Oryctolagus cuniculus: one gene and its partners. The protein of the gene in region 2 purifies or fractionates together with the protein of the main gene of each other region. This does not show direct contact. Links are inferred from orthologs where the notes say so. Each region holds a gene or a part of one and is shown on either strand. Other genes may lie near its edges.

What was found.
Region 1: the proteins of ERBB2 (region 2) and VAPB purify together in Homo sapiens (affinity purification with mass spectrometry; 3 studies listed by BioGRID and IntAct, with this or other methods). This does not show direct contact. The link is inferred for Oryctolagus cuniculus from reciprocal best matches to the Homo sapiens genes ERBB2 and VAPB.
Region 3: the proteins of ERBB2 (region 2) and CDC37 purify together in Homo sapiens (affinity purification with mass spectrometry; 3 studies listed by BioGRID and IntAct, with this or other methods). This does not show direct contact. The link is inferred for Oryctolagus cuniculus from reciprocal best matches to the Homo sapiens genes ERBB2 and CDC37.
Region 4: the proteins of ERBB2 (region 2) and ACSL3 purify together in Homo sapiens (affinity purification with mass spectrometry; 3 studies listed by BioGRID and IntAct, with this or other methods). This does not show direct contact. The link is inferred for Oryctolagus cuniculus from reciprocal best matches to the Homo sapiens genes ERBB2 and ACSL3.
Region 5: the proteins of ERBB2 (region 2) and TIMM50 purify together in Homo sapiens (affinity purification with mass spectrometry; 3 studies listed by BioGRID and IntAct, with this or other methods). This does not show direct contact. The link is inferred for Oryctolagus cuniculus from reciprocal best matches to the Homo sapiens genes ERBB2 and TIMM50.
Region 6: the proteins of ERBB2 (region 2) and LRPPRC purify together in Homo sapiens (affinity purification with mass spectrometry; 3 studies listed by BioGRID and IntAct, with this or other methods). This does not show direct contact. The link is inferred for Oryctolagus cuniculus from reciprocal best matches to the Homo sapiens genes ERBB2 and LRPPRC.
Region 7: the proteins of ERBB2 (region 2) and CTNNB1 purify together in Homo sapiens (affinity purification with western blotting; 3 studies listed by BioGRID). This does not show direct contact. The link is inferred for Oryctolagus cuniculus from reciprocal best matches to the Homo sapiens genes ERBB2 and CTNNB1.

The regions. Positions count from the first base shown.
Region 1 is NC_091442.1:3,754,071-3,758,319, forward strand, and holds part of VAPB (vesicle-associated membrane protein-associated protein B/C), read right to left. Parts: intron 2,672-4,249; coding exon 2,568-2,671; intron 1-2,567. UniProt on the Homo sapiens protein: Endoplasmic reticulum (ER)-anchored protein that mediates the formation of contact sites between the ER and endosomes via interaction with FFAT motif-containing proteins such as STARD3 or WDR44.
Region 2 is NC_091448.1:22,673,859-22,678,107, forward strand, and holds part of ERBB2 (receptor tyrosine-protein kinase erbB-2), read right to left. Parts: intron 2,472-4,249; coding exon 2,424-2,471; intron 1,296-2,423; coding exon 1,157-1,295; intron 1,061-1,156; coding exon 938-1,060; intron 789-937; coding exon 690-788; intron 472-689; coding exon 286-471; intron 140-285; coding exon 1-139. UniProt on the Homo sapiens protein: Protein tyrosine kinase that is part of several cell surface receptor complexes, but that apparently needs a coreceptor for ligand binding. Essential component of a neuregulin-receptor complex, although neuregulins do not interact with it alone.
Region 3 is NC_091447.1:67,020,712-67,023,999, forward strand, and holds the end of CDC37 (hsp90 co-chaperone Cdc37), read left to right. Parts: coding exon 1-114; intron 115-372; coding exon 373-481; intron 482-586; coding exon 587-702; intron 703-803; coding exon 804-926; intron 927-1,277; coding exon 1,278-1,460; intron 1,461-1,569; coding exon 1,570-1,641; intron 1,642-1,735; coding exon 1,736-1,891; 3' UTR 1,892-2,239; downstream 2,240-3,288. UniProt on the Homo sapiens protein: Co-chaperone that binds to numerous kinases and promotes their interaction with the Hsp90 complex, resulting in stabilization and promotion of their activity. Inhibits HSP90AA1 ATPase activity.
Region 4 is NC_091434.1:16,426,283-16,430,531, forward strand, and holds part of ACSL3 (fatty acid CoA ligase Acsl3), read right to left. Parts: intron 3,994-4,249; coding exon 3,854-3,993; intron 725-3,853; coding exon 552-724; intron 1-551. UniProt on the Homo sapiens protein: Acyl-CoA synthetases (ACSL) activates long-chain fatty acids for both synthesis of cellular lipids, and degradation via beta-oxidation.
Region 5 is NC_091449.1:15,489,078-15,493,860, forward strand, and holds the start of TIMM50 (mitochondrial import inner membrane translocase subunit TIM50), read right to left. Parts: upstream 3,391-4,783; 5' UTR 3,343-3,390; coding exon 3,235-3,342; intron 2,592-3,234; coding exon 2,432-2,591; intron 2,009-2,431; coding exon 1,977-2,008; intron 1,773-1,976; coding exon 1,751-1,772; intron 1-1,750. Other genes in the region: SUPT5H (transcription elongation factor SPT5), read right to left, coding at 4,511-4,654, 4,735-4,783. UniProt on the Homo sapiens protein: Essential component of the TIM23 complex, a complex that mediates the translocation of transit peptide-containing proteins across the mitochondrial inner membrane. Has some phosphatase activity in vitro; however such activity may not be relevant in vivo.
Region 6 is NC_091433.1:158,886,269-158,889,700, forward strand, and holds the end of LRPPRC (leucine-rich PPR motif-containing protein, mitochondrial), read left to right. Parts: intron 1-1,096; coding exon 1,097-1,239; intron 1,240-2,240; coding exon 2,241-2,297; 3' UTR 2,298-2,594; downstream 2,595-3,432. UniProt on the Homo sapiens protein: May play a role in RNA metabolism in both nuclei and mitochondria. In the nucleus binds to HNRPA1-associated poly(A) mRNAs and is part of nmRNP complexes at late stages of mRNA maturation which are possibly associated with nuclear mRNA export.
Region 7 is NC_091441.1:106,508,246-106,513,033, reverse strand, and holds the start of CTNNB1 (catenin beta-1), read left to right. Parts: upstream 1-1,784; 5' UTR 1,785-2,041; intron 2,042-2,504; exon of another isoform or gene 2,505-2,639; intron 2,640-4,788. UniProt on the Homo sapiens protein: Key downstream component of the canonical Wnt signaling pathway.

The DNA of each region.
Region 1 (4,249 bases), on a different chromosome or scaffold from region 2:
CCACGTCCCACTCAGAATGGTGGTGGCGTTCTAGCTTCTCTCCTGCTGACCCAGCTCCCTGCGAATGCTCCTGGGAAGGCAGCGAGTGGCAGCCCAAGTGCCTGGGCCCCTCCTTGTGGGAGCCAGGACAGAGGCCCAGGCTCCTGGCTCCAGCCTGGCCCAGCCTTGGCTGTCGTGGGCATTTGGACAGGGAACTGGGGGAAGGAAGATGTCTGTGCACACACGTGTGTGTGCGTGTGCACGCGTGTGTGTATGTCCCTGTCACTCTGCCTCTCAAATAATCAATCTTTTCTAAAAAGAAAAGAAAGCCTATGACAGAGAGGAAGCAAAGGTGGCAGGATACTAACAAAGGGTCAGTCGAGGCAGCGGCTGTAAGGAGTGGTCAGTGCACTGTGTTTTCACCTTTCTGTGCATCAAAATAAAAACATTTAAAAATAAGGAAAAGCACAAGGCAGTGCTTGCTCTGACCCAGTGTGAAGGAATCACAAATCACTTTCAGTTTGTGTTCATTTGTGTATTTCCAAAATTTCCTGCAGTACATTTTGTCTAAAATTTCTTTTGGACTCATAAAAGTCACAGAGCCTGTGGAGTGACCGTCCACATACATGCAGCACTCAGACAGAACAAGCACCCGGCACACTTAATCCTCGCCGCGCGGGCTGTATTTTTAGCCTCATTTCACCGGGAAACCAACACCACAGAAGTTATGAAAGCTGCTCAAGGCCACAGCGCTAGCAGAAGGCAGGACTCGGCGTCAGCAGCGAGAGGGCCGCGCGGCCACGCCAGGCGCCGGTGCCCGCGGACGCTGTCTTCTGTGTGCCCCCAACCTCCTCGACCACATGCTGGCTGAGGCAGAGAACACAGTCCAGGAAACAGAGGAGCTGGCGAATGCCCAATAATCTTCTACGGACAGTGGACGGCCTGTTACCCCAGATCTCTCTCAAACTCAAAAGTACCGGCTCTGCCTTCATTCTCTCTCCAAAAGTTAACCATCAACGGAGATGTCAGTCATGCTCCAAGTGCAAGGGGAAACACTGTGCGGCAACCCCGGGCAGGAGACGGCTCCACAAAGGAGCCTCTGGGTGACACTCGGCGAGAGGAAGCCCAGAGCTGCCCTCCTGCCAGGCCGTGGGGCGCTGGGCACTGCACGTCTTGTCTATGGCCTGCGATCCATGCTCAGAACACCAGGATGCTCTGTGTGTGAAGTTTACTTCGGAGAGAATTTCCATTATAATCTTTTCCCAGAAACATCAAAAATGTAACATCACTTATTTATTTTGTAAAAAATGAAGTCATTTTAATTTTACCAAAAATACACACAGCTGAACATGTGTTTAAGCAAGGGGGAAAATGAAGAACGCAGGGAGGAACAACAAGGCAGCAGCGCACTGGGACCAAGCGGGGGACAGGGGGAGACGGGGGAGACAGGGGGAGACAGGGGGAGACAGGGGAGACAGGGGGAGACAGGGGGAGACAGGGGGAGACGGGGGAGACGGGGGAGACGGGGGGAGACGGGGGAGACGGGGGAGACGGGGGAGACGGGGGAGACGGGGGAGACGGGGGAGACGGGGGAGACGGGGGAGACGGGGGAGACGGGGGGAGACGGGGGGAGACGGGGGGAGACGGGGGGAGACGGGGGAGACGGGGGAGACGGGGGAGACGGGGGAGACGGGGGGAGACGGGGGGAGACGGGGGGAGACGGGGGGAGACGGGGGGAGACGGGGGGAGACGGGGGGAGACGGGGGAGACGGGGGGAGACAGGGGGAGACAGGGGGAGACAGGGGGAGACGGGGGAGACGGGGGAGACGGGGGAGACGGGGGAGACGGGAGACGGGGGAGACGGGAGACGGGAGACGGGGGAGACGGGGGAGACGGGGGAGACGGGGGGAGACGGGGGGAGACGGGGGGAGACGGGGGGAGACGGGGGGAGACGGGGGGAGACGGGGGGAGACGGGGGAGACGGGGGAGACGGGGGAGACGGGGGAGACGGGGGAGACGGGGGAGACGGGGGAGACGGGGGAGACGGGGGAGACGGGGGGAGACGGGGGAGACGGGGGAGACGGGGGAGACGGGGGAGACGGGGGAGACGGGGGAGACGGGGGCCCTCACAGCCCTCCTGGGGCGGGGGGGAGCACCCACTCACACAAGACACAGCCGTGAGGGCAAGGGGAGACAGGGGAGACGGGGGCCCTCGCAGCCCTCCTGGGGTGGGGGGGGAGCACCCACTCACACGAGACACAGCCATGAGGGCAAGGGGAGACAGGGGAGACGGGGGCCCTCGCAGCCCTCCTGGGGCAGGAGAGGAGAGGGGGAGCACCCACTCACACGAGACACAGCCGTGAGGGCAAGCGACTGCTGAAGCACACGGAGTTTGCAAGCCAGAGAAACACAGTGCTCCAGGACACAGAATAGAGTGTTATCACAGGCAGTCAAAGCACACCCCCCCTGAGAAGACCGCTCCCCTGCACACAACTTTCACGCTTTGGCACGCATGCACCCGCCATTCTGTGCCTAATTGGGCTTGTTACGATTATTACTGAAAAAAGTAAGAAGCATTCAGTACTTACTACTGCTTCCATATCAGAAGTGTCAGTTGGAGCAAACATAGACTGAACCATAAACTTGTGCTTACTTTTCTCATTGGGGTCATAATCGAAAGGCTGTAACATCACTGAGAAAGAAAATATTTCATTAGGAGGGTCAGAGCTGGGTTATCCGCGCCACTCGTCACGCTAGTGCTTGTCCTGTGCCTGGGAAGCTGTTGCCCGCGTCCTCTGATCTGAGCCTTCGGGCCAGCGCTGAGGGAGCCGGTGACCGCACCTTCCCCGAGCCGGTGCAGAAGGTCAGGGCTGGGTCTTCCGGCTCCCAGCTGTGCATCTCTCAATCCTCCAGCCTACCCTCGACCCGGCGGCAGGCCTCGGAGGGCAGGCGGGCGAGGCAGAAACCACAAGCCTGCTTCTGTTCCAAGCACCTTTCAGAACAGCAACAGAACAATCCGGAACATGGAAGGAACTGTTTCAGCTTCTCTCCACCCCATTTCCTCCTAGTTCATCAAGGTAAAGCTTGAAACACAAAGCTGCCACCAGAGCAGGAGGATATGCAGAGAGCACAGGAAAACCCACAGCTCACGGCCCCTGCTCCTCGCAGGCACCCGGAGGACACCCCCCACCCTCACCAGGGGTCTGTGGACCAGCAACAGCCACAGCCTCCGCTGCCCTCAGCCTCTCCCACAGGGTAGACGAGGGCCTGCCCCGCTGACGAAATGATGGCCGCTTTAAAATCTAGTCTGCTGCAGGACTTGGGCTAAGCCCTCATCTAGTGAGGTTCCCTGAAACACAGCTCCACCTGCGGGAGAGGCCTCCTGGGGCCCTGCCTCCAGGCGGGAGCCGGCAGGGACCTGGCACCTCCATGTGGTGTTGCCAGAACGGGGCTCCGGGCTTCGGATCAGGAGGCCGTGTGACTCTGATGCCCACTTTCTGAAGCCCAGAGAAGTGACCCGCTATGCCTGAGGTCACACTGGGGAGAGGGCAAAGCCAGGCCCCAGCGGCCTGCCAGGCGAGCCCTTGCTCCCGGCAGGCGCCCTGAAGGACCTCCTCGTCCTCGTCCTCGGTCCCTCCCGCCGGCAGTGCTCCCCGTCCCGTGCTCCTCAGTGTCCTCTGAAGCTCATCTCGACACTGCCCAAGGCCAGCACTCAAGGTCCCGGGCGGCCAGGGAAGGGCACTGTCTTCAGCCCTGGTCCACGGCTGGTCCACGCCGGGGAAACCGGAGGCCCCACAGGGGAAGCAGCCGAGACCTCTGACTCCCGGCGGCCCCTGCACCCCACTGGACACGCCCACGACAGGGACTCCGGGATCTGCACTGATGGGGAATAGAAAACGCCAGCTTCCCTCCCCCGACTCGGGAGATGCAGGACAAAGAAGGTGCGTTATGAGCTCCCCACACATCAGACCGAGAGCACCGGCCGCCCACAACACTCAGCAGAGTGCTCTGAGCTACAGGACAGAATTCAATGCACACTGAAGAGCAAACCTTGCACACACACAACGCAGCGTCTAGCCAAGGGTAACTACAATAAGGACATTTGGTCTGAACCTCAAAATCCAAACAGTGTAACCATCGGCAGAGAGAAGGAAAGCCACTTAGGAACAAGGGCCACTCTTCTCGGAATCCTATGCCTGCAGGCACAAAGGCGTGGTGCACTCTGGACAATCCGGCCCTCACTAGTGGCTTTCTTTTTAAAAACTTTTTA
Region 2 (4,249 bases):
GGTACTCTGTCTCGTCAATGTCCAGCAGCCGAGCCAGCCCGAAGTCTGTGATCTTGACGTGGTTGGGGCTCTTGACCAGCACGTTCCGTGCAGCCAGGTCCCTGTGCACGAGCCGCACGTCTTCCAAGTAGCTCATCCCCTGCAATGGGAGGCACTGGTGTGGGGCCTCTGCGTGGGGCTCGGACTGGCCCCATGCCCGGGAAATGCACCCACCCTAGCCCTGTGGAGAGAGGGGCTTGCTCCCCAGGGGCCCACAGAGCCCAGGCCCTGCCCCTAAGTGCATACCTTGGCAATTTGCACACACCAGTTCAGTAAGTCCTGGGAGCCCAGGCGCCCGCGGTGTTCACGGACATGGTCCAGGAGGCAGCCGTAGGGCATCAGCTGTGTCACCAGCTGCACCGTGGACGTCAAGCAGATGCCCAGGAGGCGGGACACATAGGGGGAGCCCACCCCTGCCATCACGTATGCTTCCTGGGGGCCAAAAAATCGTCAGAGACCAAAGACCCCAGCCCCAACTGCCTCCCGTGACTGGGGACCCTCACCCTGCCAACCCCAACCATCACAAAACAGCCACGGACCACAGACGGGGGTGTTGAGTTGAGGTTTGGGAGTCCCATCCCCCCAGACACCAGTGCAGAAAGATCAGAGCCCCACCCTACAGCCAGGGTGTGAGGGGAGCACGGGCTTACGTCCAGGATCTCTTTGTTGGCTTTAGGGGATGTGTTTTCCCGCAACACTTTGATGGCCACCGGGATTTTCACATTCTCCCCATCGGGGATCCAGATGCCCTGAGCAGAAAAACAGCCATGAGCAGGGGTCGGACCAGCCCCACCCGTCTCCCTGAGAGCCCTTCCCTGTCCCATCGCCTCGCCCTCCCCCTCCCCCACACCCCTGCAGGGACAGCCCCACCCCGGGGACCACCACCCCAGCTCCTGACCTTGTACACTGTGCCGAAAGCTCCTGATCCAAGCACCTTCACCTTCCTCAGCTCCGTCTCCTTCAGGATCCGCATCTGAGCCTGGTTGGGCATCGCTCCGCTGGGTGTTAGTGGCTCCACCAGCTGTGGGGCGGAGGTGCAGCTCAGTGCTGGGGCCGGGGCTGGGTCCCAGCCTCAGGCCGGCAGCGGCGGGGGACAAGGGGCCCTGGGCCGGCTCACCTCCGTTTCCTGCAGCAGCCTCCGCATGGTGTACTTCCGGATCTTCTGCCGCCTTCGCTTGATGAAGATCCCGAGGACTGACCCCATGACCACGACCAGCAGAATGCCCACCACAGCAGCGATGATGGACGTGACAGGGCTGGGGGTGAGAGCCAGGGTCAGGGAGGGGGCCACTCGGGCAAGGGGACACAGGGCCCCGGGGGCGGGACACGACAGTCCCTAGCATTGGGAAGGCTGGCCACAGGCTCTGACCCTCTCTTCCCTACACGAAAACCTGCCGAGGCTCCCCACTGCCTCCACAATGAATCCAAACTCCCAGCTAGCCTTTCCAAGCCCTTTCTGTCCGGTATTCTTGCCCTTGGCCATAGCTCAGGGCTTTACAATTTCAAGGCAGCAGAACCCCCAGGGAGCTTGTTAATATGCACAGTTGCAGAGCCAGGCCCCTCCCTGGGATTCTGATCCTCATGTGGGTGGGGCCCAGGAATGTGCACCCAGCAATTCGCTGTAGCACCAAACCAGCGTTTCACTCCCGGTCGGTCCCAGCCCATCCTCCTGCTTGGACCACCACTTCTCCACGGGCCCACCTCCAAGACCCAGCTCACCCTGGATGGAGCCTCTGGGAGTCGACCCAGCACTCTGGTCATCCTTGTCCCTGTGCTGGCCCACCTCCCCACCCTTGCCCTTCTCAGCCAGGGTCTGGGGCAGAGCAAACCTCGGAAGAATGCTGGCTGAATCTATTCCTCTGAAAAGCCCCTCGCTGGCCAGACAACCATGTTCAGCTCAGTGGCCTGGTGGTCAAGGCCTCCGTGCTTCAGATCCAAACCCTAGCTGACTCTGACCTCCCCCCTTGCTCCCTCCCTGTGCATACTCGACAGCCCATCCCCACACCAGGACCTTGGCACACAGCCTGGATTTTCCTGCTGCTTCCCCCATCCCACCTAAACGCAAGCGAAATACCTGCCCCTCTTTCAAAGCCACCTCCTTGAGGCCTCCTGCCATCTCCAGCTAAGAATCTGTCCTGTTTCCGTGCCAGTGCTGCAGCTGCACCTTTCTCACCCTACCCTGAGTTCCAGGGAAATGAACCAGGCCACTCCAGCGGGCAGGACCTGGGTGGGGAGGGTCTCAACCATCTTCCCGCCCCCAGCACCCTGGGCAAGTGGGATCACCAGTGTAAGGGTGGCCTGGGGAGGGAAGTGTACGAGGTGACCCCTCCCTGCATCAGAGGCCGGCTGGGGAGACAGGGGCACCAGGAGGAGACTGGGCCAACCTGGCTCTCTGCTCCGCGGGGCAGCCTTTGTCATCCAGGTCCACGCAGCTGCAGGAGAAGAGAGTCCCATTAACAACTTAAGGAACCATCCTTCGGGGTTCCCCCAGCCTCATCACAAACCCCAGGGGGTGGGTGTAACCGGGTTACTCTCCCCAAGTGACAAAGGTAGAACCGGGGCGCAAGGTCACTCTGTTCCATCTTCCGCACTGAGAAGCGACTCCTTCTCCAGCCGGGAACCCACATCCTCTGCTCCCTGCACTGCCCCGCGGTGCTGGAAAGCGCAGCTGCTGCCTCCACAGAGCACGGTGCCACACTCCCCATGGCCCCACACGCCTCCACAGAACACGGTGCCACACTCCCCACGGCCCCACACGCCTCCACAGAGCACGGTACCACACTCCCCACGGCCCCACACGCCTCCACAGAGCACGGTACCACACTCCCCACGGCCCCACACGCCTCCACAGAGCACGGTACCACACTCCCCACGGCCCCACACGCCTCCACAGAGCACGGTACCACACTCCCCACGGCCCCACACGCCTCCACAGAGCACGGTACCACACTCCCCACGGCCCCACACGCCTCCACAGAGCACGGTACCACACTCCCCACGGCCCCACACGCCTCCACAGAGCACGGTACCACACTCCCCACGGCCCCACACGCCTCCACAGAGCACGGTACCACACTCCCCACGGCCCCACACGCCTCCACAGAGCACGGTACCACACTCCCCACGGCCCCACACGCCTCCACAGAGCACGGTACCACACTCCCCACGGCCCCACACGCCTCCACAGAGCACGGTACCACACTCCCCACGGCCCCACACGCCTCCACAGAGCACGGTACCACACTCCCCACGGCCCCACACGCCTCCCTCGGTCCAGCCCCGAAACTGCCCGCACCTGCTGAGGGGACCACAGACGCTCACATGCACGCAACAAACAAAAGGAAACAAGCTTGCTAGCCCTCAAACTGGGTCACAGGTGGAGTCTTTTTGAAAAGGACACAGACCCACACGCGCTCACCAACAGGTGACCTAAGACAGGAAAGCACAGGGCAGGCCTGGGGGAGGGAGGGAGAAGTGAGTGCGGGTGCTCCACGGCCCAGTGGGGTGATGGCTACAGCTCACATAACCTGCTGTGCATATTACCAAGACAGAGGAAAGGAGCTTGAAAGTCCCAAACAAAACAAACAGTAAGGGTCGGGGCTGTGGCTCAGTGGGTTAAGCTGCTCCCTGTCTGTGGCGCTGGTTCAAGTCCAGTCTGTGGAGCCGGTTCAAGTCCTGGCTACTCCATTTCTTTCTTTCTTTTTGGACAGGTAGACAGAGGAGAGAGAGAGAGACAGAGAGAAAGGTCTTCCTTTCGTGGTCTTCCTTTCATTGGTTCACCCCCCCAAATGGCTGCTTCGGCTGGTGAGCTGCGCCGATCTGAAGCCAGGAGCCAGGTGCTTCCTCCTGGTTTCCCATGCGGGTGCAGAGTCCAAGCACTTGGGCCATCTTCCACTGCCTTCCCGGGCCACAGCAGAGAGCTGGACTGGAAGAGGAGCAACCAGGACAGAACCCAGCGCCCCAACCGGGACTAGAACCCCAGGGTGCCGGCACCACAGGCAGAGGATTAGCCAAGTGAGCTGCAATACCGGTCCTGCTCTACTTCTAATCCAGCTGCCTGTTAATGCACCTGGGAATGCAGAGGAAGATGGCTCAAGTGCTTGGGCCCCTGCATCCAAGGAGACCTGGATGAGTGAAGCTCCTGGCTTCAGTCTGAGTCAGCCCCAGCTGTTGTGGCCATTTGGGGAGTGAATCAGCGGATGGAGGATCT
Region 3 (3,288 bases), on a different chromosome or scaffold from region 2:
CAGCAGCTGCGCAAGGAGGAGCGCAGCTGGGAGCAGAAGCTGGAGGAGATGCGCAAGAAGGAGAAGAGCCTGCCCTGGAACGTGGACACGCTCAGCAAGGACGGCTTCAGCAAGGTGCGCGTGCGCGGGCCGCGGGGCTGGGGGCGGCCGCCGGGGGGCGGGGGGCGGGGCGCGTGTGGAGCCTGCCTGGGGGGCCCGGCGGAGGACGCACCCCACCGGCGCCCCCCTCTGATCTGCCCGAAGGCCCCCGCGCACGCTCCCGCCTCCTTGCTGCTCATGGCGCCGTCGACGTGGACGGGCTGGGCGCGGCGGCCCCGGCCTCCGCGCTCGGCTGGGCGCCCCCAGCCCACTCCCCTTCTCACCCACCCGCAGAGCATGGTGAACACCAAGCCCGAGAAGGCGGAGGAGGACTCGGAGGAGGTGAAGGAGCAGAAACACAAAACCTTTGTGGAGAAGTACGAGAAGCAGATAAAGCACTTCGGTGAGTGGGGGGTTGGGGGGTGGGCGCGTGGGGGCGGGCCCCCCGGGGCGGGCAGGGCGCGGCGCCCCCAAGGCCTCACCAGCACCCACGACCGCCTCCCCGCAGGCATGCTCCGGCGCTGGGACGACAGCCAGAAGTACCTGGCGGACAACGTGCACCTGGTGTGCGAGGAGACCGCCAACTACCTGGTCATCTGGTGCATCGACCTGGAAGTGGAGGAGGTGCGCGGGCGGGGCCGCCAGGCCGGGGCCAGGGCAGGGCGGGGGCGCGCCGGGCCCGCGAGCGCCCCCTGGTGACGCGCCGCGCCGGTCCTCCTCCGCAGAAATGCGCGCTCATGGAGCAGGTGGCCCACCAGACCATCGTCATGCAGTTCATCCTGGAGCTCGCCAAGAGCCTCAAGGTGGACCCCCGGGCCTGCTTCCGGCAGTTCTTCACCAAGATCAAGGTGGGGGCCCGGGTGGAGGCCAGGAGCTGGCCGCGGGGGCGGGACTGGAGGGAGAGCGCCCTGGGCGGGGTGGCCCCGGGTGGAGACCAGGAGCTGGGCTCTGTCGGGGTGGGGGCGGGGGCCGAGGGACGGAACTGGAGGGAGGGTGCTCTGGGCGGGGTGGCCCCGGGGGTGGAGACCAGGAGCTGGGCTGGAGGGGAGCGGGGGCGGAGGGGCGGGACTGGAGGGAGGGCGCCCTGGGGATGGAGACCAGGAGCTGGGCTCGGGGGCGGGGCCGAGGGACTGAGGGACAGGACTGGAGGGAGGGCGCCCTGGGGGGATGGCCCGCGGTCACGGCCCGCTGGCTCCTAGACGGCCGACCGGCAGTACATGGAGGGCTTCAACGACGAGCTGGAGGCCTTCAAGGAGCGCGTGCGGGGCCGCGCCAAGCTGCGCATCGAGAAAGCCATGAAGGAGTACGAGGAGGAGGAGCGCAGGAAGCGCCTGGGCCCCGGCGGCCTGGACCCCGTGGAGGTCTACGAGTCCCTGCCTGAGGTGAGTCCCTGCCTGAGGTGCGCGGCGGGGCGCGGCTCCAGGGGGGGACGGGGCGGGGGGACCCTGACCCTGACCCCGCCCCGGCCCTGACCCGGCCCTGCGCCCCCAGGAGCTGCAGAAGTGCTTCGACGTGAAAGATGTACAGATGCTGCAGGATGCCATCAGCAAGATGGACCCCGCCGTGAGTGCCCGGGCTCCCTCGGGTCTCCCAGGCGGGCGCGGGTGGGGGGCCGGGCCGGGACAGCGCCGCCTCACGGCCGCCCTCCTCCCCGCAGGACGCCAAGTACCACATGCAGCGCTGCATCGACTCCGGCCTCTGGGTCCCCAACTCCAAGTCCAGCGAGACCAAGGAGGGGGCGGGGGTGGGCCCCGGGGACCCGCTGCTGGACGCCGCCCCCAAGGCCGGCGCGGAGGAGGACACCAGCGCCTGACCCGCCGCCGCCGCCGCCCGGAAAACACAATAGATGCCCTCTTCCCAGCTCCCGCTTCTGTGTCCGCTGCTGCCCCCAGCCCCGGGGGGCCGCCCTCCCCTCCCCCGCGCCCCCCCACCGCTCGTCCCACTCTGCTTCCACCCAAGGGGCTTCCCCGGCTGCCCCCTCCCCGTCAGCGCTATGCCAAAGGCCCCGGGGTCCGGGGAGGGGCAGGGGTCGCCACACTGGTCCGCTGGGCGGGGGGAGGGTCCCCAGCCCAGGGGCCGCGGGCTCTGTTTTCTCTGTTGGCTGTCGAATCTTCTGTTTGGAAAACAGCAGTGATCTTCCAATAAAGGATTTCAGACGCTCGCCGGGGCCACAGATGGGGCCGTGGGCAGAGCCCTGTGCTGGGGTGGGGGAGAGGCCTGGGTGCCTGTTGGCGGCCCTGCGGGAGACGCCCAGGGTTTTGTTTGCCCGCTGATTGGAACCCCTGCATCTCAGAGCCAGAATCCTCTGCCCTCCGTTCTCTCCCGCCCCTGGCCTCTCTGGGGCCGCTCACCCCACAGCCCGCATTCGGCAGCACCGCCCCTGAGGGCACTAAATCCTACAGCTGTCCCGGCCTCCTGCAGGGCCCCCACGGGCCGCCAGAGGGCGCCTGTGAGCCGACGCGTGGCGCAGGTGCGTCTGCTCACAGCCCTTCCCCGTGGCACTTGACCTTTGTCAGGGTGGCCCCGAGGAGGGTCGGTCAGTGCCTTCCTCAGGCCACAGTGACCAGAGACGATTGGGTGAGGTGCCGCCTGACAGGGGCAGCCCCCGGCGCTTCTCCTGGGACACCCTTTCCTCTAAGGGTTGGGGGACCCTTCAGAAGTCGGGGCGTGTCCCCAGGTACTAAAAAAAGGGCCACGAGATGAGTGGGAGTAAGAAGATGCATTTCCTGGCTAAAGCCGCCATCTGCAGTGCCGGCTTCCCATATGGGCGCCAGTTCGAGTCCCAGCTGCTCCAGTTCGATCCAGCTCTCTGCTATGACCTGGGAAGACATTGGGAGATGGCCCAAGTGCTTGGGCCCCTGCACCCATGTGGGAGACCCAGAAGAAGCTCCAGGCTCCTGGCTTTGGATTGGCGCGGCTCCAGCTGTTGCAGCCAGTGGGGGAATGAACCAATGATGGAAGACTCCTCTCTCTCTCTGCCTCTTCTCTCTCTCTGTAGTCCTGACTTTCAAGTAAATAAATAAATCTTTAAAAAAAATAAAAACATCTCCCAAGCAGCGCTGGCCCAGCAGAGTAAGCTGCTGCTGTGTAGCCCACATCCCACGTGGGCACCGTTTGCAGTCCCAGCTGCTCCACTTCTGATCCGGCTCCTGCTAATGCACCTGGGAACTCAGTGGAAGATGGCCCAAGTCCTTGGACCCCTGCCACCCA
Region 4 (4,249 bases), on a different chromosome or scaffold from region 2:
CAAAATGACTCTCTCCTATAAGGGACACATGAGGCACTATCTATGGGACTCATCTGGGAAACAACCACCATTTAGGCAGTGGATCTCCTCCTCAACCCCTCATCATGATGAAGTCTGGTAATTATACTCACTAGACTCAAATCTGGTTCCTCTCCACACTTAGAGAGATCTCCATAGACATTTCTGAACTTGAGCGCTCAACTAGACAAAAACACCCAAATTTTTCTACAAGAAATCTAATAACTGATATTAGAAGATAAATATATACAACACAGTCAATGCTGGTCACTAAAGCTTCTTTCCAGAATGCTAAATACCTGAATAGTTTAATATGAAAAGCCTCTCCAGATAAATTATTGACTACAGACACATCCAATATATTCTAAAAACTGGTATCAATAATACCACCTCAATTTTACCCACTCATCTACTAGACAAAAACCTCTACTACTCATCTCCAATATATTTGCAGAAAATAATCCATACCAAAAAAATACCTGGAGTTGTACTTAAGTCTCAGATGGACACTTCATTTCAGGAACAACACTAACCTTCTGTAATTGTTCCAGCACCAGTAGATTCCGTAAGTCCATATCCCTGGCCAACAGGACAGCAAAAACAGATATTCATGAACCGCTGTGTAGCTGCAGAAAGTGGAGCACCACCACACAAAAGAAGTCGAATATTTCCTCCTAGCAAACTTCGAACTTTCCGGAAAACAAAGCTAAAAAAAGGAATTAATCAGAGTCACAGGATTTTAAAGCTGAAAGATTTCCAAATCATTTTCTAATCTCCCAATTATGATATGAGATTTTTTTAATTAAGTGACTTATCTAAAGTCACACAGCCAATTTGGGAGATTCTCTTGACCTGTTATTTAAATCTTAGCTTCTAATAGTTTAACAAGGTAAAGAATACATGAATTCCCCATAAGAAATTTTCAAGTAATATCTAAATTCACAATCATAAGGAGGCCAGCACTATGGTAAAGCCACTGCATGTAGTACTGGCACCCAATATGGGCACCGGTTTGAGTCCTGGCTCCTCTGCTTCTGATCCAGCTCCCTCCTCATGTGCCTGGGATAGAAATGGAAGATGGCCCAAGTGCTTGGGCCCCTGCAACCCATGTAGGAGACCTAAAGTTAGCTCCTGGTTCCTCATCAGCCCAGCTCCAGCCATGGCAGCCATCTGGGGAGTGAACCAGTGGATGGAAGATCTCTTTCTCTGTCTCTCCTTCTAATTCTGCTTTCAAATAAATAAATCTTCAAAAAGAATTATTATATAATTTATTTTGTGTAATAATGGAAAATCCCTTAAATCATAGCAACTAGTTTATATTATATTATTGTATTATATCTACATGAAATTAAAAGCAAATTAGGTTTTTGCTTTACTTCATTAGAAATGTGCACATATTTATACATAGCAACAAAGCTCTTTTTGGTTGTTGAGAGAGAGAGAGAGAGATACGGTGTGTTCCCATCTGCTGGTTCACTCCCCAAATGCCCGCAAGGTCCAGGACTGGGCCGTGTTGTGGGGAGCAACTCGGACTAGACTGTTACTGGAATTAAGACTTATTCTATGCATCTGCTCTCCCACAATATGGCGCTGAGAAGGGATTAACAACTTCTACGCAGCTGCCTCTCGCCAACTTGAGTGATGACCTGCAGGAGCTGATCCTGCTCCTGATTGGAGGAGAGCAGCGTACTCGGCGTGTGGGTAGCAGAGTTGGGATTGGTGGAAGAGGACTATAAAGGAGGGAGAGAGACAACATGCACCAGGAACATCTATCTGAAGGAACACCTGTGCAGCCCCCGAGAGAGCCGGCCGGCGGTGTGCCGCTCCCCCGCGGAAGTGGGGAAAGTGGCAGGGGAACGCCCTTCCACGGAGGTGGAAAGGTCGGTAGCCAACACTGGAAGAACCAGCAGCAAACCCGGGAGGGCCGAGCAGACAAAAGAACAGCGCAGGGTCCGTGTCGTTCCTCCACGAAGAGGGGAGCGACACCGTGTCAAAGCCAGGAACCAAGAATTCAACTTTTCCACATGGGTGACAGATATCAACTACTTAAGCCATCACCACTGCCTCCCAGAGTATACATGAGCAGGAAGCTGACTTGGGGAGTTGGGAGCTGAGTCCAGGCAATGCACCCAAGGCATTCTGATACAGGATTAAGTGTCTTAATTATTAGGTTAAATAACCACCTCCAGGGCTGGTTCTGTGGCATAATGGGCTACACCTGAGGTGCCAGTATCCCATATGGGCACCAGTTTGAGTCCTAGCCACTCCTCTTCCAATCCAGCTCTCTGCTAGGCCTGGGAAAGCAGTAGCAGATGACTCAAGTGGCTTGGGCCTCTGCATCCACATGAGAGACCCTGGCTCCTGGATTCGGATCAGCAAAAGCTCTGGCCGCTACCGCCATTTGGGGATTGAAATGGAAGATTTGTCTCTTTGTCTCTCCCTCTCCCTGTCTATAAGCTATCTCTCAAATAATAAATATTAAAATAAATACCCACCTCCTAGCTATTTTTAATATTTCACTAATTGAAGTTTTATTGTTTAAAAGAAGCATTATTATTGTTTAAAAGAAATCATCTATGAGGAATTAAAAAAAGGAAAATAATTCATCATCTAATTGATAAGTTTCTAATAATATTTTAATAAATTAATTTTAATAAATTAAGATTATTCACTACTTCAATCCAAAAGGGGAAGAAGATTTTTAAAAAAATTTTTAAATAACTTTGAAAAATCAAATTAACAAACTTTCCAAAGCAATGTATATATATCTTGCTAAAGAGATAATAAGGCAGGGAAAAAAGCTCATAGAGTTCTAAATAAAAAGAAGTACCTGAAAACTAATTTTTTCATAAAAATTTGAATTTTAATCATAAAATCATAAATCTATTTAACACTATCAAAATACATATCTGGGATAAAATTGGTCATTTAAAACTTTAAATACAAAACATTTAATCATATTTAGTCTTCATTTTATATTCATACTGAAATTTTATATTGATGCCAATATAAATTTCAAATCAAAGAGAAATTTTCTCAAAGTACTAAGTCCCTTAAGTGTCCACAGAATTACATTAAATAAAAAATTAAAATTAAATTAAATACAGCAAAATTCTAAACGAAAAATATTTTCAAAAGATATTGCAGGTTTTTTCAAGACTTATTTTTATTGATTTGAAAAGCAGAGTTGGAGAAAGAGAGAGAGAGAGAGAGGGACACATACAGAGAGATCTTCCATTCGCTGGTTCATTATCCAAATGGCCTCAACTAAGGGCTGGACCAGGCTGAAGCCTGCAGTCAGGAGCCTGGAGCTTCTTCAGGTCTCCTATATGGGTCCTGGGACCTAAATACTTGGGTCGTTCTCCATTGCTTTCCCAGGCACATTAGCAGGGAGCTGAATGGGAAGTGGTGCAGCTGGAACTCAAATTGATGCCCCTATGAGATATTAACGTTGCAGGCAGTGGTTTAACCTACTATATCACAACACCAGCTCCTGCAGGTTATTTTTAAATACCTCATATTCTTTTTTTTATTATATCTTTTATGTTTTATTGATTTTATTTATCTGTAGACAGAGTTATAGAGAGAAGTAAAAACAGAGAGAGAGAGGTCTTCCATCCGCTGGTTCACTCCCCAGATGGCTGCTACAACTGGAGCTGCGCCAGTAATAAGCCAGCAACCATACAGGATGCCAACACTGCAGGAAGTGGTTTAACCTGCTTCGTCACAATGCTGCCCTCCCCCAATATTACTTATCTCTATCTCAATTAACTGGTTAATTAACATGAATTAAATGATTAAATTATCAAAAGAAAAAGGGAGGGTCCTTATTTACCTGTCACACAGTGGGGTACTACGTCCTTTTGAAATTTGTTCCATTTTGTAATTATAGGCCAGAATAAATAGATTGCGTTGAAAACTACTCATTTCATTCACTTTATTCATGACATTTTTGTAGATCCGATCCATAATTTCCTGCAAATATAAAAATGAACATACAGCACATAAATACATATGTATATAAATATATTTGTAGGTATAAACATATTTTATGTATAATTGTTTATATTTTATAAATGTATATTTATAACATAATACATATATAAATATACAAAAATGAATCCATAACGCAGTTAATGATTAGCAGCTGCCTTAAATATTCAAATCTGAAAACCTGATTTGTATTTCTATTTAAGGCTTTATAAATTTTCATTAAGGCATTGTAAAAGTA
Region 5 (4,783 bases), on a different chromosome or scaffold from region 2:
GAGCAGGCGCCGTGTCTGCCCACTTTGAGCCACGGTGCTGAGTCTAAGTACGCCACACAATACATACGGACAATGGGTATTTGAAACCACCGGTTCTCAACTGGCAACGATTTTGCCTCTCCCTTTCCCTGGGAAACCAGGCAACCTCTGGAGACACTTCTGGCTGTCAGACGCTGGCATCCGGTGGGGGGATGCTAGATACCCTCCCCAGCTACACGGGCAGCAAAGCATCATCTGGCCCCGGGGCCACCAGGGCTGAGGGTGCACAATCTGTTCTAAATAAACACGCTGAGTCGTTTGAGAGGCAGAGAGAGAGAGAGAGAGAGAGAGAGAGAGCGAGAGAGCGAGAGAGAGAGAGAGAGAGAGAGGTATCTTCCATCAGCTGGTTCACTCCTCAAATGGCTCTACCAACCAGGGCTGGGCCAGGCTGAAGCCAGGAACCAGGCATTCCATTGAGGTCTCCCACACGAGTAGAAGGGGCCCAAACAGGTGGGCAGATGAGCCATCAGCGCTGCTTTCCAGGTGCATTGGCAGACAGCTGGCTAGAATCAGCACTCTGACACAGGACACAGGTGGGCGGTCCACGTGGCAGCTGAACCCAGGGCCCCAGAGCCCACCTGCAGCTGAACCCAGGGCCCCAGAGCCCACCTGCAGCAGCTCACAACCACAAACTCCTGTGACTGTCTCCCATGACTTTAAAACAGGATGCAGGTATTTCAAAGTTGGTGGAAAAAATTAAAAGGTAGTTTTGGTGTAAAAACAACTGAACACACGCATAGTTTTCTCACAATACACACCTTCTGTGAAGGCGGGGAGGTACCTGCAGGGCTTCACAGCTCTCCCGATGCGCCTGTCTCAACAATACTATAGCACAGAGGCTCGTGTTTGATACAGAGTCAGGACGCCAACGGGGGTCCCCCATTCCACTCAGCGGGATCTGGGCTCAAGTCCCAGCTCTGCTCCTGAGTTCTACTTCCTGTGCATGTGCCCTGAGAGCTGCAGATGATGGCTCAAGTCCTCGGGTCCCTGCCGCGTAAGAGACCTGGACTGAGCTCCAGGCCCCTGGCTTCAGCCTGGCCCAGCCCCAGCTGTTGCAGATATTTGAGGAGTGAACCAGTGGATGGGAGATCTGTGTCTTTCAAATAAATAATAAATTTTTCTTTAATCACATTATTAAAACCAGCTAAGGCAGTACACATAAACATGATGTTTATCTGCCCAGGAACCAAATGAAATGCCTGTTGATTTGTTCCAGTCAGGATGGTCCTACACCTGCCCAGTTAAAACAGCACATCTGCCCGCTTGCCCAGTTTAATTAGTGCAGTACCGTGCCTGTGTGCAAACTCGCCCAGCAGAGGCCAAGTGGCCTTCTGAAGGCACCAATGTCAGCCTCTCCCGGGCAGGGCTGGGTGGAACAACACTCTGCAATCTGGCAGAACAAACTCCATCCAAAGCCGGGTTGAATGGGGGTAAACTCAGAGGCCGCCACAGAGAGGGGCAGGTGCTCAGACCGAAGGCAGCAGACGCCGTGTCTGTGGATAAGCAGCCTGGTGTCCCCAGGCCCTGCCACCGGGCTCCCCTCCCCCACCTGGCTCTGACCATCTGCTCTCTGAGGGCTAGGTCTCTGTGATGCCCCTCCCAGAAAAGCATCGAGCTGCTGGCTCCCCTCCCCCAGCGCAAGGAGGAGCTGGGGGCACCAGATGGGCAGAGCTGGCTGCGTCAGGGACTCAGTCTCTGCTTGTTGACTCACCATTGTCGAACTCATCAGGAATCTGGGAAGCAGAGAGAAAATGCAAAGTTTGGGGTGGCAGAGGCAGACCCCACCACCACCCAGCAAAGCGATCTCCAGGGCCTGATTCCAGGTAGGGAGGGGCTTGCCCTAGACCCAAAAGGAGCCAGAGCGGACCCAAAGGAGGCCCTGACACCCACCCACAGGCTGGGACTCCTGGCAAGGCCTCTGGTCTCTTTCCACTCACCTTGGCACCGTTTTCATCCACAGGGTTGTTTCCTGCAAGGGAGACAGGAGTGAGGGAGAGGAGCTGGGCGCTGCCTCCTGGGTCTTGGAGGAGATGGGGGACAGGGGGCATAAGTGCACCAGAGACACGGCCTCCTGGGTTGGGGGGGACGGAGCCCCCTGGTGTCTGAGCGATGACTGTGCTGGACTGTGGCTGCAGGGAGGAGACACAGCCCAGGAGGCTGGTCCAGGCCTTCCCCACCTCCCCTCTTCCAGTGGCTCCCCACAGCCTCGTACAGGAGCCGACCAGTTAGAGTAGAACCTTACACAGGGGTGAGAGAGACGAAAGGAGACCCCCGATTTCCAAAGCAGGTTTCCTACTTGGTGGCCCTGTGCAGGGAAGCGCCCGGGAGTGAAGATGAGTGGCCCAGGGGCGGCCCCAGGGGAACAGAGAACTGGGGGGCCGGGGCGTCTCACCGAAGATGTAGACGATGCTCACGGTCCCGCCGGCCCCAAGCAGCCCAGCAAGCCAGAGCGCGACTTTCTTGGCATAGCTGGGACCCTCGGAGCCCGGCGGCTGCTGCTGCTGTGGTCCCGGGGCCTTGGCTCCCCCGCGGCTCCCAATTTCCGCAGCAGCCTGTGGTGGAGAAGGGGGTGAGGCCCTGCGGCGCGGAGGGCGCTTAGCCTGTCCCGCGGAAGGAGCCCGGGGCGCGGGGGCTGGCGGGCCGTGGGTGTCAGGAGCGCCGCGGGCCCCACACACGGGGCGTTGGGCCGGGAGGTCAAGGCGTCCGGACGCCCAGAGGGGCGGGGGCGGGCAGGGGCGATCGCTTGTCTGGGGGTTGGGAAAGTGGCGCAAGGAGGCCACGGACTTGGAGGTCAGAATGGCTGGGTCCCGTCAGCACGGAGGCGGGTCGAACTGGACGCCTGACGTCCAGCTCACCTGCCCCACGCCCGAGGCGGACAAGAAAACCTCAAGGCCAGGCTGGGGCTCTCCCGCAACTAGCGCCGGAGTGGTCCCCGAGGTAGGGAGCAGGCGACCCTCCGCCCCCGGCGCCCACGTGGCTGAGAGCGGAGGTGCAGAGGGTGCACTCGGGCCCCAGCATCCGGCCGGAGGAGAGCGCAGCGTTCGCTCCGGGAGGCACGGAGCCGGCCCGAAGGGCGGGCAGTGTTCCATTCAGCACCCTGAGGTGCGGCATCCCAGAGCCACTGGGCGGCAGCTCCCTGTCTAAAACTCCAAGGCGCGGCCGCCGCGCCCGCAGCGCCTGGCCTGTCCCGCTCACCTGGTCTGGGGCCCCGGGGGGCGGCGTCGCCAACCGCGTGCACAGCCCCCGCGCGCCGAGCCGGAGCCCGCTCCGCAAGCGCGAGAACAGCGCCGCCGAGGCCGCCATCTTGCGCTGACGCCACGAGGCCCCGCCCAGTCTCCCCGCTCTGCCCGCCCCGACCTGGGCCTGCGGCCAATCGGGGCACAGAGGAGGGACGGGCGGACGGGAGCCCGAGAGACCCAAAAGGCCTTGGGCGGACTGCCGCCGGCGCGCTCGCTCCTGACCAGTGTCCTGGCTGTCCTCGGGGCCCGTCAGCCGGGATATGGCCACCTAGCTCCAGTCCTGGGGAGCACCACTGGTACTGAAACTGGACGTGGCAGGGGCAGGGGTCACACTCACGGCTACCCGATTTGCCCCCAAAAACTGATAAGGAATCAGCTCATCTCGGCCCCTGGGGGGTTCTGCCTTCACCTCCTAATTGCCCTAAGTGAAACCAGCAGCGGGCGTGTAGCCTAGCGGTTAGGGCGCCCAGCGTCCCACACCGTATCACCTGGGTCTGATACCCGGCTCCAGGGCCGACTCCACGGGAGACCGGGGCTGAGCGCCCGGCAGGTGGGGCGAGCCAGCAGGTGGCGCTGTCCCCGTGTCAAATGAAGGGAAGGAGGCTCGGGACCCAGGCAGTTCTCTCCACTGCTCCTCCTCCTGCCGAGCGGGGCTTGGACGCTGCTCTCCTCGCCTTTCCCTAGGTCTTTCCTCCGTGGGGAAGCTGAGGCTTGGGTAAGAACTGACCCCACTTACAAACAAGGCCAGGCTCAGGCATCCGGCGCTGGGCGGGCATCCCATACGGGCGCCGGTTCGAGTCCCGGCTGCTCCACTTCCAACCCAGCTCCCTGCTATGGCCTGGGAAAGCAGCAGAAGATGGCCCAAGTCCTTGGGCCCCTGCACCCACGTGGGAGACCCAGGAGGCTCCTGGCTCCTGATCAGCTCAGTTCCAGCCGTTGTGGCCATTTGGGGAGTGAACCAGTGGATGGAAGATCTCTGTTATCTACCCCTCAAATAAATAAATTAAATTTTAAAAAAGACCAGGCTCAGCACTTTTGACCAAACAGCTTTTTATTGAAAGATCGTAACTCAAAAGCAAGCCGGGGGCTGGGGTACAAGAAAGTGGGGCCCCTCCTCCGGACTCTACTCTGATTCCTAGGAGCATGGGGGGGAGGTGACCCAGAGAGGACACCAAGGCAGTCCAGGCCGGCCAGCCCGGCCACTCTGCCTGCGCCTCGGCCCCAGGCACGCCTCAGGCCTCCAGCAGCTTCCCCAGGAAGCGGAGGTTGAGGATCTTGAGCTGCTCGTCCAGGTCCATGCGGACGATGCCGTCCTCACCGTCAATGCTCAGCAGCACTCCCGTGGCTTCCCGGTCCTCTCCCAGGATCACCTTCACCTGCGGGAGGCAGTCAGAGTCAGGGCCCCGCGTCCTCCACCCCCCACCCTCGGCCCCCGCCCCTCGGCCCCCGGCCTCACCTTGTTGTTCTTGGTGGGGGTGATGGGCTCCAGGTGCTCGCTGGAGATG
Region 6 (3,432 bases), on a different chromosome or scaffold from region 2:
CTTAGAGAGAGGAGCAGAGATGTATACCAAGGAAATGGACATTATCCAGACTGCAAAGATCTGTGTTATGATGAGTTCCCTTTGTGGGGGAGAGCTGTTGTGAACTGATTGTTCAGCTTCTCACCACGGTCCTGCAGGTGCACCCTGGCTTCATGGTAGAGTTCCTTAGATGTTAACACTCTTCATACAAAGTCCCCGGGAGCCAGCAGTGTTGCACAGTGGGTTATGGCATCCCACATCAGAGCACTGGTTCAAGTCCCACCTGTTCCGCTTCCTGTCAAGCTCCCTGCTACTGCATACCTTGTGAGGTAGCAGATGATGGCCCAAGTTCTTGGGTCCCTGCTACCCACATGGGAGACCTGCATGGGGTTCCTGGGCTTCAGCCTGGCCCAGCCCCAGCTGTTGCAGGCATTTGGAGAGTGAACCAGCAGATGGAAGATCTTCTTGGTCTATCTCTCTGCCTTTCAAATAAATAAATATTTCAAAACTTGGCCAATCAGCCACAAGGCAAGGGCCAGCTCGTCATAGCTGCTAGGCCCGTGTCGTTCTAGTGCAGTATGATTCTGACTGGTTAGAGCTTTGCTTTGTCATCATAGCTACTTATGTTCTCCGAATTTGCTTATTTGAAAATAGGAAAATATATTGAAGTCTTTGTGGACGTTTAGCTGTTAATCTTGATAGGTGCAGATATGCAGGCTTCTACATCATTCCCATGCCCCTCACCACAGCAGGCTGGGTTTTCTTGAATTCAAAGTGTGGATTGTAAGCAGGGGCTTGAATGGCGTGTGCTGATTACTTTATAACCAGGGGCGGCGGTGTGGTCACTGACTCTCCGCGGGATACCTTGGGCACGCAGTGCCACTCAACGCTCTTCTGCAGACAGTTGAGTGTGGCCACACCTGGCCTCTCCCCTCGCCTCCACCGTGACTGGCGCCGAGCGGGTGGTGGAGATTCTGAATAGGACTTCTTGCCGCAGGTCGTTACTTAGTCACATGCCGTGGGGTAGAGGGACCCAGCCGCCCCTGAGCAGCTGAGAGTTTTGGGGAAAAGGTGGTCTCTGCCTGTGGCTAACACCTTCTTCTGTAACTTTCCTCAGTCCTGGACAAAGACGTCGCGTCTGCTAAAGCACTGTACGAACATTTGACTGCAAAGAAGACAAAACTGAACGACCTGTTTCTGAAGCGCTACGCGGTTTTGCTGAAGGGCGCTGGAGAGTCAGTCCCCTTCCCGGAGCCCCCTGTGAGTATTTCTTAATTACGGGAGAAAATACCTCTGCAGATTGACACGGGCCTCCGAGCAATGCGTAAGAACATAAGTTGAATACTTAATTACGCAAGGATTAGGCCTGTGCGTGGAGCCCTGGGGGGTGGCCGAGGCTCTGGGAGACAGGGCCCTCGGGGCGAGGCAGTGGGCAAGGCCGTGGCAGACCTCCAGCTGGAGGAGGGAATTTCTCCGGTGTCCTTGGGGCAGTTCTCACCTTGTTTCAACTTGAAACAGGCTTTGATGGCCTGGACTTCAGTAGCCAAACATATACCCCTGTTAATTACTTGTTCGTTTTAGATGAATTGGGTTTCTTGGATTTCTTCATCTGGGAAATTTGGTTTGCTTTCAGTAAGAGAAATCACACATGCAGAATTCCTTTTTGTTCATTGAATCGAAAGTCACTGCACCTGGATTATTTCAAACACCTTGACCTTCCGTACCCACGTGCACACATGCACACAGCAGAGGCTTCTGCTCTGCTTTTGGGGCCCTTGAACTTGTGACTTCATGAAACAGAAGACTGTGCCAAAGCTTGGGGGTGGCATTGGCCGCAGGACCAGCAGTCTTAACTACCAGTTTGCTTTATAATTTTTTTAGATTTTATACTGTTACCCCCTTTTTTTTTTTTTTTAAGATTTGTTTATTTATTTGAGAGACAGAGGCAGAGAGAGAGAGAGAGGTCTTCCATCTGCTAGTTTACGCCCCAAAGGGCCACAACGGCCAGTTTGAAGCCAGGAGCTTCCTCCTGGGCAGTGGCCCAAAGACTTGGGCCATCTTCCACTGCTTTCCTAGGCCACAGCAGAGAGCTGAATCAGAAGTGGAGCAGTTAGGACTCGAACTGGTATCCATATGGGATGCCGGCACTGCAGGCAGCAGCTTTACCCACTACGCCACAGTGCCAGCCCCTGACGTTACCTCTTGCTGTGAACTCTTTCTCTAACTTCCCTCTTCTCTGCCTTTTTTTTCCTTATTAACAGGAAAGCTTCGAATTCTATGCAAATCAGCTAAAGGAATCAAAAGAGAAGCCCTTGTGAGATTAAGAAGGCACTTTGCTGCATGTGTGTTCATGATTCTGGACTAAATGTTATTTGTAAAATGTACTAGAAACAATAAAGTGAAAAATTACTTTTCTACATACTTTCATTTGTAAAATGCGAACGTTGAGCATCTTACTGCTGATTTTGTGTCCATTGAGTCATAATACGTCTGTGTCGTTTCTTTACGGCTCCTCTGTGTGAAGCTGTAACTCTTCAGGGTTCTTCCGGCTAATGCCATCAGTTTTCCTGCTCTGTTTCATTTGTTATTTTCATTAAAATGTTATTCCTTTCAAACTTGCTTGTTTGTATTGTTTATCTGAAAAATTTTGGAGCTAGAGAAACAATATTTAGCTTCCCACTGTTTGATATTCTATAATTCTGTGTGCGTGAAGTCCTGGATAACTTTCCAGTTTTGTAAATCACCAAATCTAGCATGTGTTGTTTTCCAGCAAGCAGCAGAGTCCAGTCACTGTCGCCATCACCTGCCCTCGGCCAGCTCCCGACGCACACGTTCAGCACATGTTCATTCCCTCCCTTTTTCCAGGGGCACCTATGAAGTGTCAGAGTCTTGGTCATGTCCTCTCATTTTTTAAAAACTTTTATCTCTTTATCTGAAAGGCAGAGAGAGAGAGAGAGAGAGAGAGAGAGAGATCCACTGCTTCACTCCCCAAATGGCCGCAACAGCCCAGGCTGGGCCAGGCCAAAGCTAGAAGCCGGGAACTCCATCCTGTTCTTCCACATGGGTGCCAGAGACCCAAACACTTGAGCCACCTTCCACTGCCTCTCCAGATGCCATTAGCAGGGAGCTGGATCAGAAGCAGAGTAAGAGACTCAAACTAGGACTCCGACACCGGGCGCTGCTGTCACAGGTGGCAGCTTTACTGGCTGCACCACAGCACCAACCCAGGTCCTCATTTGTTTCCAGGACTCTGTTAGCACAAGGTACACCTACCCCAGGCTTGGGACATTATGCTTGTATCCTGTAAATATGTGATTCCATGTATGAAAGGGTGTGAGCTGCTGGTTTGTGTTCACTTTTATAGATTAAAATTTACCTTCATGCTGGCTCTTGTGCCTTTTAATATCTATAGCATAAGTACATTAATAAGGTTTAGGATGGGAAATCAAGGCA
Region 7 (4,788 bases), on a different chromosome or scaffold from region 2:
TAACCTGTGTATTTAAGTATCACTAGGGCTAAAAAAAAACTTGATTCTAAACTTACAGAAAAAATTCTTAGATTATTTTGGCACCTGAACAGAGAAATACAGATAGAAAGTGTTCTTACTCTTTAGATTTTCTACTGGTGCAGATATGTCTTAACAGGTTTCAACAGTGTGCCTTATTAGCAAAAACACACTGAACACAGAAGATGCAAAGCTCTATTTTTAAAAAATACTAATTGTGGAGAATCAGTCATCTGATTTTAAATGTATAATTTGAATCAAATCAACTGAAATATTCCTTGACTCTGTACATGACAATTAAAACGGGGGGGGGGGGTGTGGATACCTGTACACGCCATTTATACCTCTGACTTTGTCTTAGAAACAGTACTTTGATGAAATACCTTTTTCCGTTCGATCTGTTTTGAGTTGCGACCAGGGAAATTAACTGCGACCAACACGCACACTTGATTCTATACAATTGCTGCAAAGATACAGATGAGAAAACCATTGGAGACAATGGACCTCACCAAGCATCATCTTAGCGGGTGGACTTTTTCCACTGCAGGGGCTCCCGCGAGCTGTGGCGAGAGACAGCGGTACCGCTGTATACAGTAAAACATCTTTAGGACCGAAAAATAAGTGTCATTTAGAGAGCAGGTTGGCTCCAAAGCATGCTATCTCCATGAGGTGATGAAAAAGGTTTCCTGCCTGTACTTCTGTATAAAGACCTATTGTTTGCATAGGCATTAATTACAGTCCTAGGAGAAAAGCCCCCGAGGTAACTTTCACTGTTGCCTTCTGTACTTTCTCCATTGTTTTTGGAGGAAAAATAAGCATAAAACAATGGAGGAGAGAGAGTGGACCGGCTTTGACAGATGCCACTCTTGCAGGATGACAATGGAGACGGGGGCAAGGCGGGTGCACTCCCAACTTCCTTGAAGTTGAGAACCAGGGGACGCTGCTGAAGAAGAACAAATTAGTTTTTAAAAACATGGTCCAGGCTGCCTCCTCCACAGCTCCTCCTAGAAACAACCTCCGTGGATGTCTGGAGCAGCAGGAGGGTGGAAACGCAGTTCTTCCCAAAGGAAAAGCCCCACCAGTGGCTCCGCTGCTGCTCCGAGTGGGACCAGACGAAGGTCAGCTACTAAATAGCAAAGACCTAACCGATAGCGCGCGGGAGCCAGTCCTCCTCCACTCGTCATCTGTTCGCAGTGGGGGGACTCGGGACGACTTGTTGAACCACGCGGGGCTTCGGCGCCCACTTCACCCAGTGCGGCCACCGAGTGGGGACGGGACGGCTCGGCCCGGAGTCCGGTGGGGGACGCCGCGCCCACCCTCCGGACCGCAGGGACCTCCGGGGGAGTGAGCGCCCCGACCCGCGGCGGGGCCCCCGACTTCAGCCCTCTCGAGACCCGTCCCACGCGGCCCCACGCGGCTCCTGAGGCCCGGGGCGCGCGATGGCCCCTTCCCCCGCGGGGGGACAGGAAGCGCGCGTCCAGCTCGGGACGGAGCTGCCCTCCTCCCACATCGGCCAGAGTGGGGGTGGGCCGGCCGCCCGGCTGCGGACCACGGCGCCCCCTCCGCTCCCCTGCTGTCTCTGGCGGCCAGGGAGCCGCCGGCGGGCCACGCTGGGAGCGTCCGAGGGGCGCGCGGGCACGCGCAGGCGGGCGGGCGCGCGCGCGGGCCACCCCGCCCCGCCCCGGGGCGGTCGGACGGCGGCGGCGGCGGCGGCGGGCGGCGCGGGGACTACTTTCGGCGGCCGCCCGCGCCCCGCCCCTCGTCCTCGCGCGGCGGAACGCTCCGCGCTGCGCCGGCGGCGGCAGGATACAGCGGGCCAGCGCGACTTATAAGAGCTCCTTGTGCGGCGCCATTTTAAGCCTCTCGGTCTGTGGCAGCCGCGTTAGCCCGGCCCCGGGAGCTGAGAGCGAGGGGGAGGCGGAGACGGAGGAAGGTGCGAGGAGCAGCTGCGGTCCCCGCCGAGCCGCCACCGCAGGCCGAGGACGGTCGGACGCCCGCGGCGGGTGGAGCCTGTTCCCCTGAGGTGCTTGGACGCTCCCTTCCCTTACCCTTCCTGGGCTGCTCCCGCTCCCTCTTCGGAGCCAAACTTCGTCCCGGGCGCGCGGTCCCGGCGGCGGGCGGGCGGGCGGGCAGCCGGGCCCGGCGCAGCCCGGAGGGCCGGGGTGGGGAGCCGGGGACGCGGGCCGGCGACGGCGGGGGCGGGCGGCGTCCAGGGCGCGGAGGGCGGCGGCCGGGCCCAGGTTCCGGCCGCGCTGCCCCTCGGGGGGCCCCGGGGGGCGCCGCGGGCGGGGAGGGGGCGCCGCGGGGGCGCGTCCAGGAGCCCGGATGACCGGCGGCGGGGTGGGGGTGGGAGGCGGCGGTTTCCGTCCCGGGCTCCGGCGGCGGCCGAGTTTGGGGGAGGGACCCTGCGCCTCGGGATGCGCCGGGGTGGGGGGCGGGGTGCGGCCGGGGGGCTCCGCCTTCGCAGCCCGGCGGCGAGTTTGGGGGTTCGGGACGCCGGAGGCCGGGACGCCACCCCCAGGTGCTGTTCTGCGGCGGGGAATGGGAGCCGGTGGAGTTGGCGGGTTTCCTCTCTGCGTCTAACAGACGACTAAGGATATATTGTTAACAACCCTGCCTATGTGAGTTCGAATCGAAACAACTTTAAGCCTCAGAGTAACTAAACTCTTCGTGCAGCCGGCGCGATGCGTCAGTAGGGTGTGCACCTGTGAAGTGTGCGTCGTGCACCGAGGTTTTCTCGTGCGTGCAGGCGAGTGGGGGCGGCGTGGAGCGCTCTGGGTTTGTGGCCGTGGGGCTTGAGACCCCAGGACCGTAGGGGAGGGGACGACGGGGACCGGCTCTTGGTCCCCGAGCGGCCCGCAGGCTCCAGCCTCCGGCTGCCTGGAGACTTCTCGATCGTGGGAATAATTTATTCCAATAGTTGTGTGGCAGCTGAAGTTGATTCCCCTCTCCCCTTTTTAGAGCACGTTTTCTTTTCAGCGGAGCGAATTTTTTTTTCCTCCCCCACGAAATGGGACAGACGAGAATCCAAGCATTGTAACTTCTTTTCGGTGTTTTGTGCGGGGAGAGGACTTTGAACCCGACTCTCAAGGAAGTTCGGTTCCCGTCGCCGGCTTCTGGATCTGCCGAGCTGGGGCGCGGGGTGTAGTCGTTTCCTTGCTGGAGGGGGCATTGTCTCCTACTTTGTGTCTTCCAGACATCTGTGGTCTCCCCTCCCCCCGAGTTTGTGCGCGGTGAATGAAGGGAGACTGGGCTGCTGGTATGCAGAGGTCGGCGAAAGGAAATCGAGGAGTGGTTTTAGTGAACTGAGAGCTTTGTATCGTGAATAATGGTGGCTCAGACTAGACAGCAACTTGAAGAGACGGCTGCGTTTCCTTTGATGACGTCTAGGCCGATGTTTTTCAGATCGCTAAGTTGTAAAGTATTTTGTCTGGAATTTAGAAAGCCATTCCATTATTTACTTGCCACTTGGTGAACCGTCAGTACCCTTCGTTGGCTTCCTGTTAACTTGTCTTCATTCTAGTAAATATTACATCGAGCCCGGAGTGTTACCTACATTATGCTGCTGTTTACTGTTTGTTGGAATCACTGACTATTTTGGAGGTGTTTTGTTTGGATTAAAGCTACTTTCATTTTACTTTTAAATTCTCAAAAATCTCAGGTAGAAGAAGAAAATTCCCTTATGGTTTATTGGAGGTTGTCCTTTCACACAAGACAAAATGTGATTAATTTGCACCCAGTATTCATTACTTTGACCTAATCTTTGTTCTGAAGGCCAAGCACAAAGACAAGGCCCTGAAGTGATCACAACAGTAACTTGAAAAACTTGCAGAAGTCTGTTCTCCAGGATTAAGGGAATGCGGAGACCATTCAGTCTGAAGTCCTTGAGAAGGAATTGAAAAACTGCCCTAGAAAGCTTAGTATTGCCTGTAGCTTAGAGTCCTGTGGCGTCCTAGGCCTGAGAGCCTCCCATAGACCAAAGCAATCATTTAAAACAGCTTTTAGGAAAAACCAACTTAAAAAAAAGGCTAGGAAAAAAAAAATAAAGCATTTAGTAGTGTTCAAGTGTCAAAACTTTTTTAAAAAACCCATTGGCATCTGATGTCTTTCAAGATTAAGTATAAAAATATATTCCATTATTAAAATTTATCAAACTGAATTGACCTAGTAATGGCTGGCATTGAAATTGTCACAAATGAAGGCCTGTATGCTTGTTTTTGTAACCCCACTGCCAAAATGGAAAAAGATCGAGAGGAGGAAATTTTTCTAAGGGTGATTGAAAATATGGTACATAGAAAAACTGCAGGTAGCATTTTTGTTCCAGTTAGGAGAGGCAGAGAGAAGGAGCATGTTGTTACTGTTAAAACTAGGGGTATAGAGAGTTTGATTATCATTCATTTATGGTTAAAGGTAGTGAAATTAGAACTGGCTGTTTAAGTCTGTTCAAATGAAACAATACATTTGTTATAAGGTGATTTTGTTTCCCTGTCATAGTCTACTAGTTGGTGATAATAATTGTAGATGAGTAGGTGGTAAAAAGTTTATACTCTGAATGGGGTCAGAGACATGCTTGACTGCTAAGCCAGGGCAAGAAGGATGAAAGCTTTTATATCTGGATAGACTTCTGATGTTAAAGGGGGGGGGGTATTGTAACCAATGGGGGGTATTGTAGTGGTACATGCTGGTTTGTGATTGTTTTTGAAAACATTGCTTGTATTAACTTGGTTGTTTTCTTGTAGGCCTCTATTTATTGGAACTATGGTATCTATT